Daphnia pulex: one gene and its partners. The protein of the gene in region 2 purifies or fractionates together with the protein of the main gene of each other region. This does not show direct contact. Links are inferred from orthologs where the notes say so. Each region holds a gene or a part of one and is shown on either strand. Other genes may lie near its edges. The genes, in order: derlin-2-like, selenoprotein S-like and derlin-1-like.

Region 1 (6,512 bases), on a different chromosome or scaffold from region 2:
CATTCCGCCATGTCAAGGTCGCTGGTCACTCGCCAGAAAAAAGAAGAAAAAACCCCAACAAAATTCCAGCGAGCGGTTCGCGTGCATATAGATACTACCAAAAGAGTTCTCTCTCTCTCTTTTTCATTTTCATTTTCATCTCTCTCTCTGTCTATCTGATTCTTTTTCGTCGTCTCACACAGAACCCTGATGCGCTTTTATAACGAAAGAAAAACCTGTCGACACGAGGTGGAAATTAAAGTAAGAGAGAGAGAGAGAGAGACGTAGAGGTATAGTTTCTCTCTCGCCTGGCTCAAGGTTTCTAAAATTGGCGAAGGCGGGCCACGTTACGAAGTGTGGCGAACGAGACACACAGCTGGACTGCCATCAGGAGACTGGAGATGGACAAGGCGACAATCTCCAGGATCTGGCTCAGGCTGAGTGCCACGATCAGGATGATTGTCACAAGTGGCAGCTGGACCAGGAGTGTGGTGAACCAGAAGGTGGACAGCTCTGCCACTTGCTCGCTCAGGTTGCCAGACATGCCCAAGTAGATCCTGGTGGCTTCCGTCACACAGCAGGCAGAGACTCCAATTCCAAGAAGGAGATACGAGAACCAGCCAAAACATTGGTGCTGCCAAATGTAGCAAGAGATGATGAGTGAAATGTAAGACAATGACTTTTTCTTCGTATTATGTAAATACCTTTGCCACAAATGATGCCAGGATGATCGCCAGCCACACTGGGTAGTAGACCAAGTTGAAGTATAGTGACATTTGCAGTACCAAACTTGATTGGACATCATAAACTTTGCTCCATAAAACAATCAAACGTTTAGCATAAAGTACGAGACGCAATAGATAGAACTTGAATGATTTGAGAAGAATTGAAGTTACCTATGTCACTTTGACCCGATACGAATGAGAAATCTTGAGGTATATCCGACAGACCTGGAAATATTCTATCGCTGAAAGAATCCACAACATTTTGAACTGATTGTCTTCCCATTATTTCATCGCTTTCGACGATGGCTTTTGGCTATGAACGAAATGACAGCCGATTGTTTTGGGCATTTCAAACTGGGCGCCATGGCAACGACTCTAGCAGAACAACTCAGCTGTTTTCATTCGTGACTTTCTCCCGTCACAGTATTACATGTGCTGTGTGGTACACGTACAAACTTGTTTTGTGAATAAAATACTTGGCGATTATATTAGAGCAAGTAAGCTGTGAAAAAACTTGTAGGATCGATGGCTGGAAAATTATTTTTCATCTTTCTTGTCCAGGTTTCACAATCCAAACATGGGAAACTGGCAACTGGAAGCAGCCAAAATGGGGATGTACATGATTTTCCCAGTTGGTTGTTTCTATTACTTTAACCAGGCAGAGTATTTTGAAGATTGGATGATCAATCTGAGGAGAGAAATGTACCCTGCCGAAAGCAGGGTGAACAAAAAGATGTTTGAGGACACCATTCGCCAAATGAAGGAGAAAGAGGAACGGGAATATCTCAGACTACTTGAGGAGAAGGAAAGAAAAAATAATGCCTAAGTTGTCTGTTTCTTAATTAGATTTATGTATACAAGAGTCAATTTCAACTAAATTTATTTGATTTCTTTCGTCATCGTGCAGGTTTGATTTCTACTTATCTCTTCAATTCTAGACTATAACATTCCCAACTCCAGTATCTGCTTCCACTATCTGGTGGACTAAACATCTTTAAGCAGTTCAAAAGATCCTTGAAGAAACAAAACAAAATTGAGGACTGCGTGTGTGATCAGGGCAGTGAACTCGCTGTAGCATAAGCCTTTCCCAATGCAGCATCATCTCTGTAGCAGGTCAGGATTAGAAAATCAAATGACTCCAAACAAATAGCAAGTCTTGTTAGTTTGACAGATTTGCGACCTTCAAGTTGTGTATTTGGAAATCTTTGGCGCATTCACTACAAACAAGGCGTCGTAATGCAATCGAGTTTTTTGGACATTTATGCTTCAGATGGGAATGTATCATTTTCAAGGTTGACAACTGCTCCTTCCTATTTGTTGGCTTGAAACAAAATCGCTGTGCGCTCGGTGCAAACTTGGACGTTCAAAGAACCTTTTCACTAGAATTCGCAATCGGTTATCTCAGATTGACTTATGGTCGGTCCGCCTCCCCTTCATCTCTGAGCTAGCGAAAAAGGGAATAGTCTTGTTTATTCACATCAATAGAATATTAATTCATTATCTAGTGCGCTCCGATTTTGATTGTGTGTTCCCAAAATGTTCGAGTTGGATGGGCGAAGAACTGCACTATGGACACTACGAGTACGGTTGATTGCGTGTAAACTTGACACGGTTAAAAGATGGCCATAAAAGGAGAAAGGGGAAAGCGCTGGATATTTGTAAACGTTGCAACAAAGCAGTATGTCAATGCTAGTCGGTCATTGGTAAGCGAAAGAAAACCGGGCCACTGTGTAGAAGGAATAATGAGGGCGAACATCGACAACTGTATATTAAACAAATTTCCATGTATTTTCTTTTGCCATTTAGTAATTTTTCAAAAAGACGATTGTGTTTGTTTCTCTTTTTTTTCTTTCTTTTCCTCACTGATTTTCGTTTTCTCTCGGCTGGTCGGCGACTGCGTCTGCCACTCCCGGAGCACCAGCACCGCCCCAATCGAAACCCCCAGGACGCTCGTCAGGAGCCGGATTGTAAAGAGGGTCTTCAGTGTGCGTGTCGAACAAAAGTTTCCTAGGGGGGGAAAAGAAAAGAAACCGTGAACCCCTTGACCGATCTTTGATGTTTTTCTTTTCGAGAATGCCAAATTGTTGCATACAGTAAACGAGGCGTGGCCAAGAGTCTTCTGCCTCCAGGCTGATTAGGAAACACATCTTCCAGGAAGAAATACAAGTGACCGATGGCGATCCCGAGAATGTCCACCAATACGCTATTGCCTAAAAGAACTGAAAAAGCCACGAGAACCCAAGGCAAATATGGGGCCTATAAAAATGTCAGGATAGAGAAAAAAATTATCGGTTAATTTTCGCACAGGGTGTTTTGAATTTTGCAGTTGCTTTGTCCTATTTACTCGAAAAGGTAGAAGGCCGAAGAAATTCATCCTAACGTAAGGATTTCTCCGAGCCCAAATATAGACGAACATCGTGGTGAGCGAATGTCCAAGGAACAATAAATTTACAAACCAAGCACATATCTAAAAACATGAGAAAAGCAAATAGTTAAAAAAACTTGAAACAGGAATTCATGCAAATTTTCATAATTACCACTGTTGTGATGCAGCCAAATATGAACATGTAAACAAAATCAGCTGTTCTACCTCTGAATGAACCCTCCTCCAACATTCTACAATAGCGATAGGTAAAAATCATGTTGAACAGAAAATTGAAGCTGAATGTCCCAAAAAAGAAGAATGGAGTCAGTAGCCTCCATATCTGCAAATACAAGATTACATGATTTGGCTACCATACAAAAGCAAACCAATCCTATTACCTCAAACTTTTGAGTGATGAGCAAAGGATTGAAATACAGTTGAAAAGGTGACACCACATCCAGTTGCTGAAAAGGAAATGTTTTGCAGTCGATTACTGAGTCCCTTTCAAAGTTTCGAGTGTTACTTACCACTGCAATTGAAGTGAGCAAGCAAACAGTGGTGTATGCCCGAGTTACTGGAGGCATCAACATATACTCTTGGCGTAATGTGTGGTAAGCCATGGTGCTTTCTTGTAATTGATTTCATCAACAGTCAACTAAGATGATGTTTTATCACTTAAATTGTATACTGTTATTGTATACAAAGGACTATGACCAGCTCAAACACGAACCTCAAATAAGAAAAACAATTTATGAATACCTAGAAATACAATCAAGAAACGATTTATCCAAAAATGTAAGGATTTCGCGAAACACTACCAACCATCGTTTTTCCCAAGAGTCAAATTGGTTTGTTTATTTTTTCTTTTAACAAACCCCCCTTGGTCGACGTGGACAATTTGTAGAGGCTACAGCAGAAACGGAAATGTCAAAAAAAGGGAATTCCAAAGATCAATTTTTGGTTGCTATTGCAACGGTGTAAATGGCGCCTCTTTTGATGTAGCAGACAACTTTTTGATTATTATTCCATCCAAGATTCGAGTGATTTGAACCGTTGGAACCTCAGTTTATTTTGACTAAATTGAATTTGTTGACGTAACCCCTAGTTTTTATTTTTCATTTCGGGTCTTGGCGATAAATCATCCATCTTCTACTTTATTTATTATTGGGAGGGAGATGATGAAACTGGAAGTAGGTGCATTCAGTGCAGTCTTGCAGATAAAACAAAAACACATGGTCGAGTGTCGTAGTTCGTATATTTGGTTTGAAAAATGGTTGGCTACAATTTCCACGGTTATTGACTTTTGTGAAACTCTAAATTCTTCTTAATGTGAAAGGATATATGCAACTTGAGTAACAGTTCATGCTGGGATAGGTGATTGAGCAACCATCTTCACATCACAAAACAAGTATTTTACTCTTACATAATTATTCGATGAGTGTGTTTTCTTTTTACTATAGCCTGGTACATGTTGACCGACCACAATTCATGTATCAATTTCTAGGAACAGATTAGGTAATAAAGAATACAAAGAAAGGAATTGGCTCTCTCATAAGATAGAAAATTACATAGCAGTAGCTTTCATTATTTTATCTGTAAATTCTACTACAGCTAGTAAGTTGTGTAATGATTTGAGATGCTGAAAGGCTTTTTTGTTTCTGGCAGAGCCATTAATGTATACTGGAACAAGGCCAGCAAGATGCATACCTTCTGTAATTCTATTTTTGGGATACCCTCATTTCTCCCTCTAACTCTTCCAAAGGCCACTTTTATTGAGTCTCTAGTACACTTCCCGTTATACCACGTCGTCTCTCCCCCAATGCAAAAATTCACTACACAACTGTTGCGTTTTGCAGTAAAATCTTGAATTGTTTTTACTTTTATAGGAGCACGAAATCTAGACGAGAGAGGTACGCCAATCAACGGTCGTTGCTACCAAAAACTCTAGTGCAAGAAATTGAGTAAAGGAAACTGGGCAGACATTACTCTCTTGCCTCATCATCGCCGTGACTACTAGAAGACAATCTAGTGTCTCGTTTGACGACCAAAAGATCACGTGACAGATGTGTATCATTTTCAACCATATCGTCGCGACGCTGAACATCCGCCGCACGTGCGCAGTCATATAGAGTGAGGAACATCGGCTGCAGTCGCACCTACGCCTGGCTCTCCAATCGGTTTTTGCTGTCTGACTAGACTGGCCGAGTGATAAGTTATAGCGACGCCGTCAAACGTAAGATATCGTCGTCGTAGCCTTTTGTTATTATCCCTATATTTCGGTTTTACCTTTTCAGTTGACCTTGTGACAATTTATCACTTTGGCTTGTCCAGTTTTTTGTTTACAGATGAACGTGAATATCGGTGGCGTCATCTCTGTGGCTTTCTTCTACTGTTTGATCCTGGCCGTTGGAATTTGGGTAGGATGGAAGGAAAAGAGGAAATTTAAACAGCTACAGCGGATGGAAAGCGGTGCTAACCTGTCGGAGAACATAATGCTGGCCGGACGTGATATGGGATTGTTCGTCGGAGTCCTGACGATGACGGGTAACGATGAGTGTTGTCCCGATTCAGTATACAAGAGGGGTAGATTTGGTTTCCAACAAGCAGGTTTAAACAACAACAACTACGACAGCGACGTGGGTAGCAGGAGGTTACATCAACGGCACCTGTGAAAGCGCCTTCACTGGTGGCTTTCTAAAATGCTCTACAATGGCGATCGGATATTCCATGAGCCTCTTACTTGGTGTGTGTGTGTTTGCCTCATTAGTGTGTCTATAGTAAATCATGTTTCATCATTTTTATTCTTTGGATAAAAAGGTGGAATGTTTTTCGCTAAACCCATGCGAATGGCCCACGGAGGTCGAGGATATGTTACCATGCTCGATCCCTTCCAGGAAAAATACGGCTCACGTATTGGTGGGCTATTGTTTTTGCCGGCCCTGTGCGGGGAGATATTCTGGTCCGCTGCTATCCTGTCGGCCCTTGGTGACGCATTAGAAAAACTTTTTTAAATGTTGGCTGTCAAAATGTTTTAATTTTAGCATTATGCAATAGGATCCATTTTCACCGTCATGCTGGGACTGGACAATACTCTGTCGATAATCATAAGTGCTGCTGTGGCTGTTACTTACACCTTGATTGGAGGCCTTTACAGCGTGGCCTATACTGACGTCATTCAACTGGGATGTGTTCTCTTTGGCCTGGTATTTCCATTTTTCAAATCCAACATTCAGTTGACTGAATTTCTCGTTGCAATCATAGGTATTCTGCATTCCGTTTGTCTGGACTCATCCGGCCGTTGACCACGAGGCTATGAGCGAGGTTGATTGGTTAGGTACAATTCCGCTGTCCTCTGTCGGTAGCTACGTCGACATTTATCTGCTCATCATCCTTGGCGGAATTCCTTGGCAAGTTTATTTTCAGCGGGTTTTGGCGTGTCGATC
Region 2 (5,841 bases):
TATTTGGTCGCAGTGTCGAAAAATGGATTAAGAAATGGCAGATTCAATCATATCAGTCAGAAAAGATCATCAAGGCAAAGGTCAATAATCTAGGCGATGAAAAATTCCAGATCTTCCAGTTTTTGAGTTTCTCCCAACTCTTGCGAATTTACTTCTGTTTCTTCGTCAATATCATTTGACCCATTGGACTGTTTCTCCCGTATCGTTCGAAGTAAAATAATTTTTTTCTGGGGGAAGGGGGGAAATGGAAGATTTAAAATTAACTGTAGGGAAAAAATTCTTACCGTCTTATTACTTTTCGATGTTTTGATCCTTCCTGCTCTATTTGTTGACTAATCATATTCGTCAGACTATGAGGAAATTCAGCGTTTCTATTTCTGACCAACTTTGTGGCAAGAAATTGATACGTTAACGGTTAACAGTTAGTACGAAAGTGGGATGTGCTACTCACTAATGTCCTATTTCTAGTTCGTCTGTCCGCTCATAACTCCGGGGTTTGAACTGGGAGGAATTTCACTTTGATATGCGACAACTGATTAATGTATTTGCACTGAAAATTAAGCAGCACCCCACATTTTAAATAGAATGAAAATACCTTTTGGCGGACGTTTTTATCGCGTATTTTATCTTTTTTTTTCTTCTGACACTTGGGACTTTATTCAAGCCAAACGTGGTAAAGTTAAAGAACATTTAAACTTATCAATAAGATAAAAGTTGAATTCATTGCAAGCTAATATATGGTGTATTTGTGCGCAGTGCGTTGTAAAACAAGCTGCTAAAAATGGAATATCGAATATTCATAAAACTACGGTCATAAAAAGTTATCAAGATCAATATTCTCTGCAATCAAAAAATTCCAGATCGTCCAATTTTTGAGTTTCTTCCATCTTTTGCGAATTTACTTCCGCAATATCACTTGACTTATTGAGCTGTTCCTCTTTCTCTCCAGTCTCGTTCGAAGTACATTTGATCTCCTCTTCAAGATCATCGGCCATTTTCCGTAGCTCCTGTACGGTTGGTGTCGCTCCCGTTTCTTTGCAAATGTTGACCATGTGGATTACATCAATCACGATAAATACGGCGGTTAAGGCACCTGCTGCGGTCCGGGCAGCTTTTGACATGACCATGGGCGTTCCTTTGAAAGCAGACATGAGATCAGCTGCTGTAGCACCGGTAGTCGTTGTCACTCTCGCTGCTGCTGCTGAGCCCGCGTAAATCATGGCTAGTCTTGCCAATTCCGGTCTTTTAAAGTAGTTTAAGAAAGCAGCTATGGCTTGTTTGATACTACGAATTTGACTTATTAAAAGGGTGCAGATTTCAGCCAAAGCGTGTAGAGATTCAGGATTCAATGGTAAAGGCAGTTTTTGAATCAGGCACTTGATTTCGGGGTCTACAACGTGATTTACCGCTCGACTGATCTGAGCATAATCTCCATTTAAAGCGTGAGTTATTAATTTTTGAAATGTTGTCAACAACAGCATCCATTTTTGTTCACAGAGTTTGCCTAGCATCTCCAATGTTGGGCGAAATCGAGTGGCACGGACCAAGTACTTTGAGTCAGACGATGAGAGTTTTTCGAGGTGTAGCAAGTGTTCACCCAGTTCCTTTTTTAAAGATGTGAGCTCCTTTTTAGACAAGAAATAACCGGTAATGTTAGCTCCTGCGGATGTTATTCCGCTCAAGATTCCAGTCGTTGTTCCTGCAACAGTCAGGCCAAGAGAGATTCCAGCAGTAAACGGAGCAGCGACTAATCCTCCAATGACAAGGAGTCCTGATCCAATACCGACACCTGTGCCAACACGATCGGCGATTAAAACGTCATTGTGAGTTTTTTCCAGATAGTCGGCCATGTCCCTCAATCTCTTGATAATTCTTTGTCTTTCACGAAAAACGTCTTCTGAGAGTTCTTGAAGCATTTTCAGATTAGTCAGTTCATTTGGGAGGTGTTGTAAAGTGTCAAAAATGGTTAGACTCTCAGATTCTGGGGAAGCATGTTCTGTGTCAGTTGTTCGAATAGCATATTTCACACTCTCTGATGTACCAACTTTAACACCCTCTTGCCATGCTGAATTTCTAAATCGGACAAAGAATAATTGTGGGATACAATTTTGGTTATTTTAAAAAGCAATACCTGTTTGACTGTGTTGTCTGGTTTTGAATTTTCCCAGTAGCAGATGAGATGTCAGAGACAGAATTAGTATTACCCATCTGAAATTTTTTTGAAATCTTTTGTTGAAATATCTAGGAAGAACATAAATATCAGAAGCTTACTCTTTGATTGAGGAAATAATAATGGCAGGGCTGACAAAAAAAGAGCTTTGTTTGTTGGACTAACTGAACACGGGATCTTCATTAGATTTCCTCGAAATGTTTATTGCCATTTGCCAAACGTAAAATCTTTCTGCTGGATAGGACACGCCTGTCCAGAGAACCTTGAGAATTTTGCTGATGTGAATAATATCCGGTTGCTACGCTTATTTTGACATTTCGAAATTCCATAATAAAAACAAAAGCTGACAGGTAGTCCATTTGGCAAGTCCTAGATGGCGTTTATCGAAAACGACCCCACATTTGAGTTTCGAGAAAAACACAAAAGTTGTTGTTTTGTTTCACCGTTTAATATTTAAATTTCAAATACCGATGGCTTTTTTGTTGCTCATTGGTAAATTGGAACGTTTATCCTGTCGTTGCGTATTGCCCTAAGTCTACCAGAAGGTTGGTGTGAACCATGATCTATAAACTGGTTTACTATAAACCTAGGCACCTATTTTCTATTAACCAGTTTATAGACCATGGTGTGAACCTTGGACAAAAATCTTGTATATTTCGGCCTTTCGCAACATTCGAACGACGATGCTCATTGCGTTATTGCGTTACATACCCAGAGGCTTGAGATTTTTTAAATTTCATTCCTAGATGGCATAGGTATCGCTGTTTCTGGGAAGAAAATATACAAGTATTATTTTCCGCAGACAACATTTACCATTTAGTGACTAGGCATTCGTCAGCAACAAGAGCGATGGTTGTTGTAGATTATTTGTTTTAAAAAAAGTGAAAATGACAGAATCGGACGAATGGGCTACGGTTGAGACCGTAGTTGACGAGGAATTGGATAGTAATCACCACGAAACTATCCACAAGCAGGGACCAAGTGGCATTGAACAGGGTATTTTAGAGAAAAGTAGGTTAACTTGTATGGTTTCAGTAACATTACGAAAACTTCATTTGTTTTTACATATTTTTGCAGTTCTTTTCATCCTCAGTAATACCAATCCATGGCTACTTCTTTTTATTGTGGTTGGTATTTATTACCTTGTGCAGAAGTTTTGGTTTTCTTCTCAAAGGACCAGCTCAGATGAATATTCAACTTTTAGTAAGAATCAAGTTGCTTGATTAAACATAAAAGGAAATGGCTTTGGGCTAATGAATTTTTCAATACAGGCTCAGAAGAGATCCTTGCAAGGCAAGAGGCTGTCGAGCTAGCTAGAAGACAAATGCAAGAACAGTATGATAAAAAAGCTAGAGAACACGCCATAAAGCAAAAGGAGGTCTGTCATTTTCACTTATAACAAGTTCATGGTGTTTGATGTGTTTCTCTGTAATTGTTTAGAAAGAGGAACTCTTACGCCAAGAGAAGTTAAAGAACTTGGAGAAATACGGAACCAAGTTGGGTAGAAGCAGTAAAACACTTGCAGCAGAAACGAGTAATGATCAGCTGCAACAGAGTATAATAAAAAAGAAATCTGACAAATCTAAGTTGAAGCCAGGTAAAATTTATTGTTTTGAAGCATCCAACAAATTGTATTCTAGAACAGGCAGTTTTCTTTTTTAACATTAACACGCACACAAATTATGATTCGATCCAAACAGAGTACAATCCATTGATGGGGGATGGAAGCAGTGGCGTCTGCTACCGTCCGACTAGGCGTGGAGGAGGAGCTGGAGGTGGATGAGGTTAAAATTCGGAGTGGATATGTGCTGCGGGTGTAGTCCTTCTGCCGCAATTATATGATCGCTCTCGGGCTCTTTGTCTTCCTGCCAATGGCGAAATGAAGTTGTTCAGTAGAGTTTTTCCTTGTTGCTCAGATTAGTGTTATGCCCGTGTTAACAGCTCCTCTTCATTGACGTAACCCCCTTCCTTTCGGTGACACGCTGAAAAAGTGTTGCAATCCTTTTAAAGATTTTTCACTTGAATGATGAAACCTTTGGCGTAAATGACTTAATTTGTCATGGTTGAGGGTTGATGTAACAGCGTTCTTCGCCGCTTGGCGGGTCCAATAAATAAATTAAACAACAATCAATCAATCAACATTCAAAAATAGAGACACGCTACTTGACTCATTTGATCATAATTTGCACTAAATTGTCGTTTTTTAAACGGATGAGATCTCGTTGTTCTCTGGAAATCTGATTCGTAGAGACAGGGGGAAACAAAACAAAATTTAAATTGCGTTAAGCTTCAACATGTAAGTGGTCGTTTTTCAGGACGATCGAAGACATCTTGTTGTTTGTCCGACTTCCTCTTTGAATGAACTTTATCGGAAAGTATCTTTGACGATTTTAATGCTGTTGTTTTGCTGGTCAGTGTGACATTCGTACTCGATGGAGTGAACGGTCGTGCCCCAGTCGCAATGTTGGGTACTGTTTGCTTTATAGATTTTGATCTGCAAGGTCGTAGTGAACTCGTAACCGCCGTCCAACTAGAAAGGCAAACAAAGCGATAGATTGCATGAGCAGTTGACAGCGAGTAAAGTCAGGCTCGTTCAAGAAAATCCATCACGGGCCGCACAGTACACATCCCCCGGAATGCGCTATCAGTCCCACGAGATGAAATGAGCAATACGGAGGGTATGTCAACTGTCGGCTCGTGACAAGGGTATAAATGATCGGACACAGTATTTACCTTCACATGCAAGGAAACCGATTCCCTTTGTCCTTTCTTTGATGGTTGCAGATTGTCTAGCTGGAATTGGGCCGAATAGCTGGAAGCGTTTTCATCTTCCAGTTTGGATGAGTTGTCAGTTACTTCAAGCGATTTTTCCATCACGGCGATCCCCCTGCAATTCATTTGATTTGGAAGAAAAATAGGGTTAAAAGAAAGATTTCCCCCTTTTTTTTTTCTTATTCCTCTTTTTTTTATATAGAAGCAACAGCCGGCCATGCTTTCTATTGGGTATACTGCACTTTGTTGTTGCCAATAAAGCGTAGTTAGAAGCCACCAGAATCGCCGGGCGTATGGACTAAACGAGCAGGACGGAAGCAGCGAAAAACACTTCGTCAGGGAACATAGTAGATCGTTACGGACGGTGAAACAGGGGGGAATAACAGCCAGCAGCTTAATGATCCATAAATGGGGAAGATGGAAAAAAGAATGACGATGAAGATCGAAAAAACTAAAAGAAAGAACAAAATAAAAGAAAAAAAAAGGAAAAGAAAGAATGGGGGGAAATCAAACGAATAGAAAAGGCAACTGAGTATCGATTTTGACGTCCCTCTGCGACTCATAAGTCACCAAAACTCTTTTTCTCTTTCTTTCTCTTGTTATTTGTCGTACCGGATGTTACTAGATCTAGTAAGGCTAACGAATCGTTTTAAATCCAAGTCCATCTCCTTCGTTTTGCGGCTCGTAACGGCAGCAACAATCTTGTTGTTTCTCCGAGTCTAATAATTAGAGTCACCTACACCCAGAGCCGTAAGCCCATCGAGAGATTAAGTGGAGAAAGGCCTCTGCGGTCGCAAAATTGCTGTCGGACGCTAGTCCACCGTCATTTCGCCTTAATGTGTTTATGTTGAGTGACTTGGTGATGATTTTAATGATTGCCGATGGATCCTAGGCGGCTG
Region 3 (5,614 bases), on a different chromosome or scaffold from region 2:
AAGTTCGCACGAAAGATCTAAAGAAGAATGAAAGGATTAAAATCAAAGTAAAAGAAAAGGACAGTGAAAAAACTAATCGACGCCAAACCAAAAGAAACCCACCTCCCAGCACCAGTGCAACACTTGCGCGTGCCTATTTCCCTAAGGTGGGTTTCTATCAATAAGGATATTCCTCCTACATTTGGCATTGCCTTCATTCATAAAATTCACAAATTCTTCTTTTACTTTTAAAATTACAGCTTGCTCGTTTCTGTGGATGGTTCTTCTTGTGGTAATATCCGTATTTATTTATATCTTGTTTGAATTTGATGTTAATTGACACCTCTCTTTTCATCAGGTTGTACAACTTGTGCGCTGACGTTATTCAGATGAGTTGCAATTTGATTTGGGTGGGACTTCAGCAATGCCGCACGGTTTTGTGGGAGAAAAGTTTCTTGGTCACTGAATGGATATCATTTCAGACACGGACTTGCCGTCAATATGTTACAACTAATTGGTTGCCGTCCATTCGTGAATTTTTCCGATTTTTTCAACGCAAATCAGCTGACGAAGGAAGCAGCACATTAGGTGGTTTAAATGCCAATATCCCTTTACCTGCTACCGGAGAAGAAGCTATGCATCGTTTATTGGCTTGCAAAGGAAGAGATCCATACAGCATCCTGGGTAATTGGATGTAGACTTCACATTTAATTGACATTTTCGCTATAGATTTTATTTCTCAGGTGTTCGACGAGATTGCTCCGACGAAGAGATTCGACGTTACTACAAGCGACAAGCTGTTTTAGTTCACCCAGATAAAAATCGACAACGGGGAGCTGAAGAGGCCTTCAAAATCTTAGCGCATGCCTTTGAATTGGTTGGTCAGCCAGAGCGACGCAGCCACTACGACCAATTAGTACAAGAAGCAGACGAGATGGAATCTGCTTGGGCCGAGCTCAACGAGCTACTCTCACGGTTGCATGCCAAAATGGACGAGGCCGCAAACACGATTCGGTGCACCAATTGTGCCAAGCGTCACAGAAGAGTGAAAACTAATCGGCCTTGCTATGCTGCTCGATATTGTCAGGTACATGTAAAGTGCGAAAATAAAAAATTTCCTTTTTTCATTCATTTTGTTTTTTAATAGGATTGCAAAATTCATCATTCCGCCCGCGAAGGGGACCTATGGGCTGAATCACGATACATGGGCTTTCGTTCTAAATACTACGCTTGCATGGAAGGTGCCGTTTATGATATCACAGAATGGGCAAATTGTCAGGTATTTTACTTCGTTTGTTCTATGTCTTGATTGTTGATTAAATTAGTATTAGGTCTTGTCTAAATGGAATAAATTTTTTAAATTTAGGCTGGACATCTTCGTCATTTGCAATCTAATTCTCATCGCGTTCAGTACCGTATAGTTCCCGGCCAAGGGCAACCGAGCAGTGGAGGTGGCCGTAAATCAAGTTGATTCTAATAAACGCCTTATTGTCTTCAAAATTATGACATTGATCATTTTTGTTGTTGTTGATTTCTATTGCTAAAGTGTCCTATCGGGTGATTTGTAACTAATACCTTTGGTGCCTTTTTTTTTCAAACAATTTTGCTTTGTCTGGTATTTGGAAATTTTCTTTTGTCGTAGAATCTCGTAACGAGGTCCCCCCCCCCCTCCCCAATGATTTGTTCCTTCCTTCCCAGTTTAATACACATGGTAACTTATCTGTGTTGCCATCAGATTAAGCATGTGTTGAGAATTTGTACAGTTTAATAAGGAAAGTTTTTGTCGACAACCCGGTATCATACGATTCCTTTGCGTGGTAAAATAGTTATTCTTCTTTTTTTCCCTTTAAAATTAATATGATTAGTTTTTATTCGACTCGTTGCAGGATGCATTTCGAATCTGGAATCTGTCTTCTACCACACATTTGCTTTCCTGCCTTTAGAAACACAAATTATGAGGAAAAACAGTCATACTCATAACGCTAATCGTTTTAAGGATTTTCTTTATCGTTGGTAGTGTATTAACTGTTTCGGTTCAACTGCGCCGAGCACTAAGGTCTTGGCGAATTAATTTTATTGAATAGAAATCAATAGTCCTATCATCATTCTAATTATACTAACCTTTTTTTTTTATTTTTATTTTATTCTTTTCCATTGGTGATTCATAGATGGCATTGGAGGGGATGACTGTGCGATTTGATTTTGGGTTTTGGCCTTGTTTTGTATTTATCCTCTAATGACACGTAAGTGTTCGTCTGCTTCGATTTGATCTTGACTTGAATTCGATTGAGATACACATTGTTCTTTGATACATTTCCTTTCAGATAATTTGGAAAAGTGGCTTGAAACCTTTTTAAAGATGAGTGAGCTAAGCAGCTGGTTCAAAAATTTGCCTATTTTCACAAGGCATTGGTTCGGACTAACTATTGCGTTGTCACTAGTTGGCAGATTTGCCATTTTGAGTCCAAAATATCTTATCTTGGATTACCATTCTATATTTGAATCATTCCATGTAATATGTTGTAGTTGAATATTTTAGAAAACATCATTCTTATTCTTAAATTGATTGTTCAATAGATATGGAGACCAGCAACAGCATTATTTTATTATCCAATAACACCAAAAACAGGATTTCACTTTCTCATCAACTTGTATTTCTTGTATAACTATTCTCTTCAACTTGAAACTGGACTGTTCAATGGGCGACAAGCTGACTACTTTTTCATGTTGCTATTCAACTGGATTTGCTGTGTCATAATTGGACTCCTAGCTGATTTTCCTGTAAGTATTTGGTTTCCTGATTCCGACTACATGTTGCTTCCTAAAAGACCTCATAATAACTACAATAACAATAATTTTTTTCTAGTATTTGATGGATCCAATGGTACTGAGTGTACTGTATGTTTGGTGTCAGCTAAATAAGGACACAATTGTCAATTTCTGGTTTGGAACACAGTTCAAGGCAATGTATCTTCCTTGGGTCTTGCTTGGATTTAACTTGATCATTGCTGGAGGGTAAAGAAACTGCAAATAATGTAATTTGTGATATACTAAATTCTTTTACTACAATAGTGGAGTCATGGAACTTGTTGGAATTGTCGTGGGACATTTATACTTTTTCCTCACGATGCAGTATCCTCAAGAATTTGGTGGTCCTTTGCTCTTAACTACTCCGCAATTCCTGTAACACGCCATTTTATTTATTTAACTTTAGCAAATATGTTAAATACTTCGTCTTTCAGATACAAATATTTTCCGAATCAACGAAGCGGAGTACAAGGATTCGGCGCGGCACCTCAACCTAGGGCTGAGTTTAGAGCAGCTGCACAGGATGCAGGTCCTCGACGCTATGACTGGGGACGTGGAAATGTTTTGGGTGGCCAAAACTAGCCTCACAATGGCCAAAATTAAACCCCGATTCTAATGTTTTGATGTGTTTATGTTAAAGAAACGATTATCGTCCCTCCTCCCATCAATTTCTGGAAAATGTATCCCTTTAATCTTAAGAGAAATTTAAATTTACTAAATTTGTCTCACTCTTTTATTCATATGTATTATTTGTACGCATGATTCCCAGATGGCTGGAATTTTGCAAAGAAAAACCTCGATTCATAGATTTCGCGATTTTCTTGTCTCACATACACGAGATTTCTTTTAGGTTGTTTTGGGGTTCAGGGTCTATAGGTTCTGCAGGAGATTTTACGTCGGTGAGATCTGTTTTCGTTTTCACTTTGGTCATGTTGCTGAGTGTGTCAACCAAATCGATAATCACATCATCTTCGCTTTGTAAGCTGGACTTCAAAGTCGCTTTCAACTTATCCAGAATCGTGAGTTCATCAGACCAGTTTTCGTCAAAATTTGTGCGGTCAGGAGAATCACGGTAAAATTTAAGGCAAGCTTCCTAATTTAGCAAAATGTTAAATAAAGATTGGTTGTAATGTCATTAGAGAACTAGTAAAGTTTGCCTTACCAATTTAGGGACTACGTCATCTTTGACGGTGGCGTCATACACAACGTTGTATTGCATGGCCATAGGACGTCCAAGTTCAAGTGGTCGAGATTCGGTAGGAGGAGACACCCAGTAGCACGTCAAGTGAGTGGTCGACGTTGATTGGCTAGGTTCCGCGTGATGGAACGGTGCTGAATAAAAAAGTAAAGTGAACAGGTAATGATAACATATAATAGTAAGGAATATTTCATTACATGAAATCATCGCTACGCAAGGTCGGTAACCTTGATCACCAGTTCCTTTGAGTTTTAATTGATACTCGAGTTGTGAATCAATATCTTGCACAGTTGGAGTGGGCGGTGATAAAGGGTGGCTATGATACCATCCTACCAAGCAAAGTCCAGCACTCTCTATTGATTGAGCGATTTTGATTTCGGTAGCTTGGCCTCGTTTATCATCAGTCGTAACTCGATTTAAACAAGGGAACGCTTGTTTAATCGTGAGTGCTAAAATGAATCACACAAATTATTGTGGGTATGTGTTTTCTAAACATATCAGTTAGCACTCACTGTTCGTGTTAATGTCCCATTGGCCTGCTAAATATCCAACAACTTCTGAACGCGTTAGAGAGCAATGAACGTCCATTACAACAAGAGCAGTCGTGTTTAACGATATTAGAAAAGGTTGAAGTTTCCCTATATTTGCGAACGATATGGCTTCAACTAACAAATTTGGATCCCTGGTAACGAAACGACAATAAGAAATAGAAACTAGAAACAAACTCCAAACTTAAAATAATTGTTTTGTCTACTTACTCGATACTTGTCCTGTTTCCTAGCGTTTCGTGCTTTATAATTTGTCGATCACCGACAGTTTGTTTCATACTCATTTGAATTACTGGTTCAGGTTCCAGCAGTACAGGCTCATTAGTGGACAAATTACAATCATCAGGAGTCGAGTTGTCGCTAACCTGTTCTAAACGTCGTTTACGCATCCATTGGTTTTTATATACATCCAAAGGCCTGCCACAATATCGTACCTACATCATTTAAAAATCTGAACTAAATTTACTGAACTTGATAACGAGAATTTAAACATATTTTATGCTTACTGATGACCAACCACAACCATATTTCTGTTCGGGATTAACAATTTTTTTGCAGCGCAAGGCCCACGCCGAGGGTGAACTAAAGACTTCTTGAACTTCAGCAGAAAAAATTTTTCCATCTGCCAGTAAGTCCCCATTAAATTTTTGTCCCTAAATAAATTCACATAGGGAATAGAAGTTTTAAACTTGGAAGATAAGAAATCTAAAAGAAATATCGTATAATGTTTACCATGTACTCTAGTGACATAGCACCTTCTTTTGGTTGAAGGATGTTATCTTCAAGTAACATTTGCAATGTGACTCCTCTACCAGTAAATCCACCAGCAGTTTTGGACTTTTTCTCATTCAGTTCTTCATCTTCATTGCCATCCATGTTATCCTGTAATTTTTGTCATAAAATTGTTATTCATTGGAATTTTAATAGCACAAAGTATTATTAATTAATTACCTCTCCTTCCATTTCAGGATCTAATGTTGCATTGTGGGTTTCAGACATGTTACATTGCTCATTTGTGTGTTCAACACTAACTGATGTGATCTTTTGTTGTTCTTGAGGATCTGCTTGATCACTAATACTT

Evidence for each region.
Region 1: the proteins of selenoprotein S-like (region 2) and derlin-2-like purify together in Homo sapiens (affinity purification with western blotting; 3 studies listed by BioGRID and IntAct, with this or other methods). This does not show direct contact. The link is inferred for Daphnia pulex from reciprocal best matches to the Homo sapiens genes SELENOS and DERL2.
Region 3: the proteins of selenoprotein S-like (region 2) and derlin-1-like purify together in Homo sapiens (affinity purification with western blotting; 6 studies listed by BioGRID and IntAct, with this or other methods). This does not show direct contact. The link is inferred for Daphnia pulex from reciprocal best matches to the Homo sapiens genes SELENOS and DERL1.

Annotation. Positions count from the first base shown.
Region 1 is NC_060027.1:834,224-840,735, reverse strand, and holds derlin-2-like, read right to left. Parts: upstream 4,037-6,512; 5' UTR 3,892-4,036; intron 3,829-3,891; exon of another isoform or gene 3,800-3,828; 5' UTR 3,690-3,799; coding exon 3,597-3,689; intron 3,534-3,596; coding exon 3,468-3,533; intron 3,410-3,467; coding exon 3,242-3,409; intron 3,172-3,241; coding exon 3,049-3,171; intron 2,961-3,048; coding exon 2,797-2,960; intron 2,712-2,796; coding exon 2,564-2,711; 3' UTR 1,877-2,563; downstream 1-1,876. Other genes in the region: transmembrane protein 17B-like, read right to left, coding at 302-613, 684-787, 876-987; high-affinity choline transporter 1-like, read left to right, coding at 5,415-5,613, 5,702-5,812, 5,887-6,054, 6,124-6,272, 6,331-6,512.
Region 2 is NC_060021.1:7,799,984-7,805,824, forward strand, and holds selenoprotein S-like, read left to right. Parts: upstream 1-2,944; 5' UTR 2,945-3,057; coding exon 3,058-3,181; intron 3,182-3,247; coding exon 3,248-3,373; intron 3,374-3,441; coding exon 3,442-3,548; intron 3,549-3,610; coding exon 3,611-3,767; exon of another isoform or gene 3,768-3,870; coding exon 3,871-3,953; 3' UTR 3,954-4,297; downstream 4,298-5,841. Other genes in the region: uncharacterized protein LOC124194966, read right to left, coding at 831-2,073, 2,132-2,208; CB1 cannabinoid receptor-interacting protein 1-like, read right to left, coding at 4,536-4,700, 4,904-5,057. UniProt on the Homo sapiens protein: Involved in the degradation process of misfolded endoplasmic reticulum (ER) luminal proteins. Participates in the transfer of misfolded proteins from the ER to the cytosol, where they are destroyed by the proteasome in a ubiquitin-dependent manner.
Region 3 is NC_060018.1:4,692,731-4,698,344, reverse strand, and holds derlin-1-like, read left to right. Parts: upstream 1-2,222; 5' UTR 2,223-2,338; coding exon 2,339-2,491; intron 2,492-2,556; coding exon 2,557-2,760; intron 2,761-2,845; coding exon 2,846-2,994; intron 2,995-3,051; coding exon 3,052-3,162; intron 3,163-3,221; coding exon 3,222-3,369; 3' UTR 3,370-3,510; downstream 3,511-5,614. Other genes in the region: dnaJ homolog dnj-5-like, read left to right, coding at 1-146, 240-271, 338-663, 723-1,066, 1,127-1,258, 1,346-1,450; MPN domain-containing protein-like, read right to left, coding at 3,614-3,880, 3,950-4,434, 4,498-4,667, 4,744-4,967, 5,040-5,186, 5,266-5,415, 5,485-5,614. UniProt on the Homo sapiens protein: Functional component of endoplasmic reticulum-associated degradation (ERAD) for misfolded lumenal proteins. Forms homotetramers which encircle a large channel traversing the endoplasmic reticulum (ER) membrane.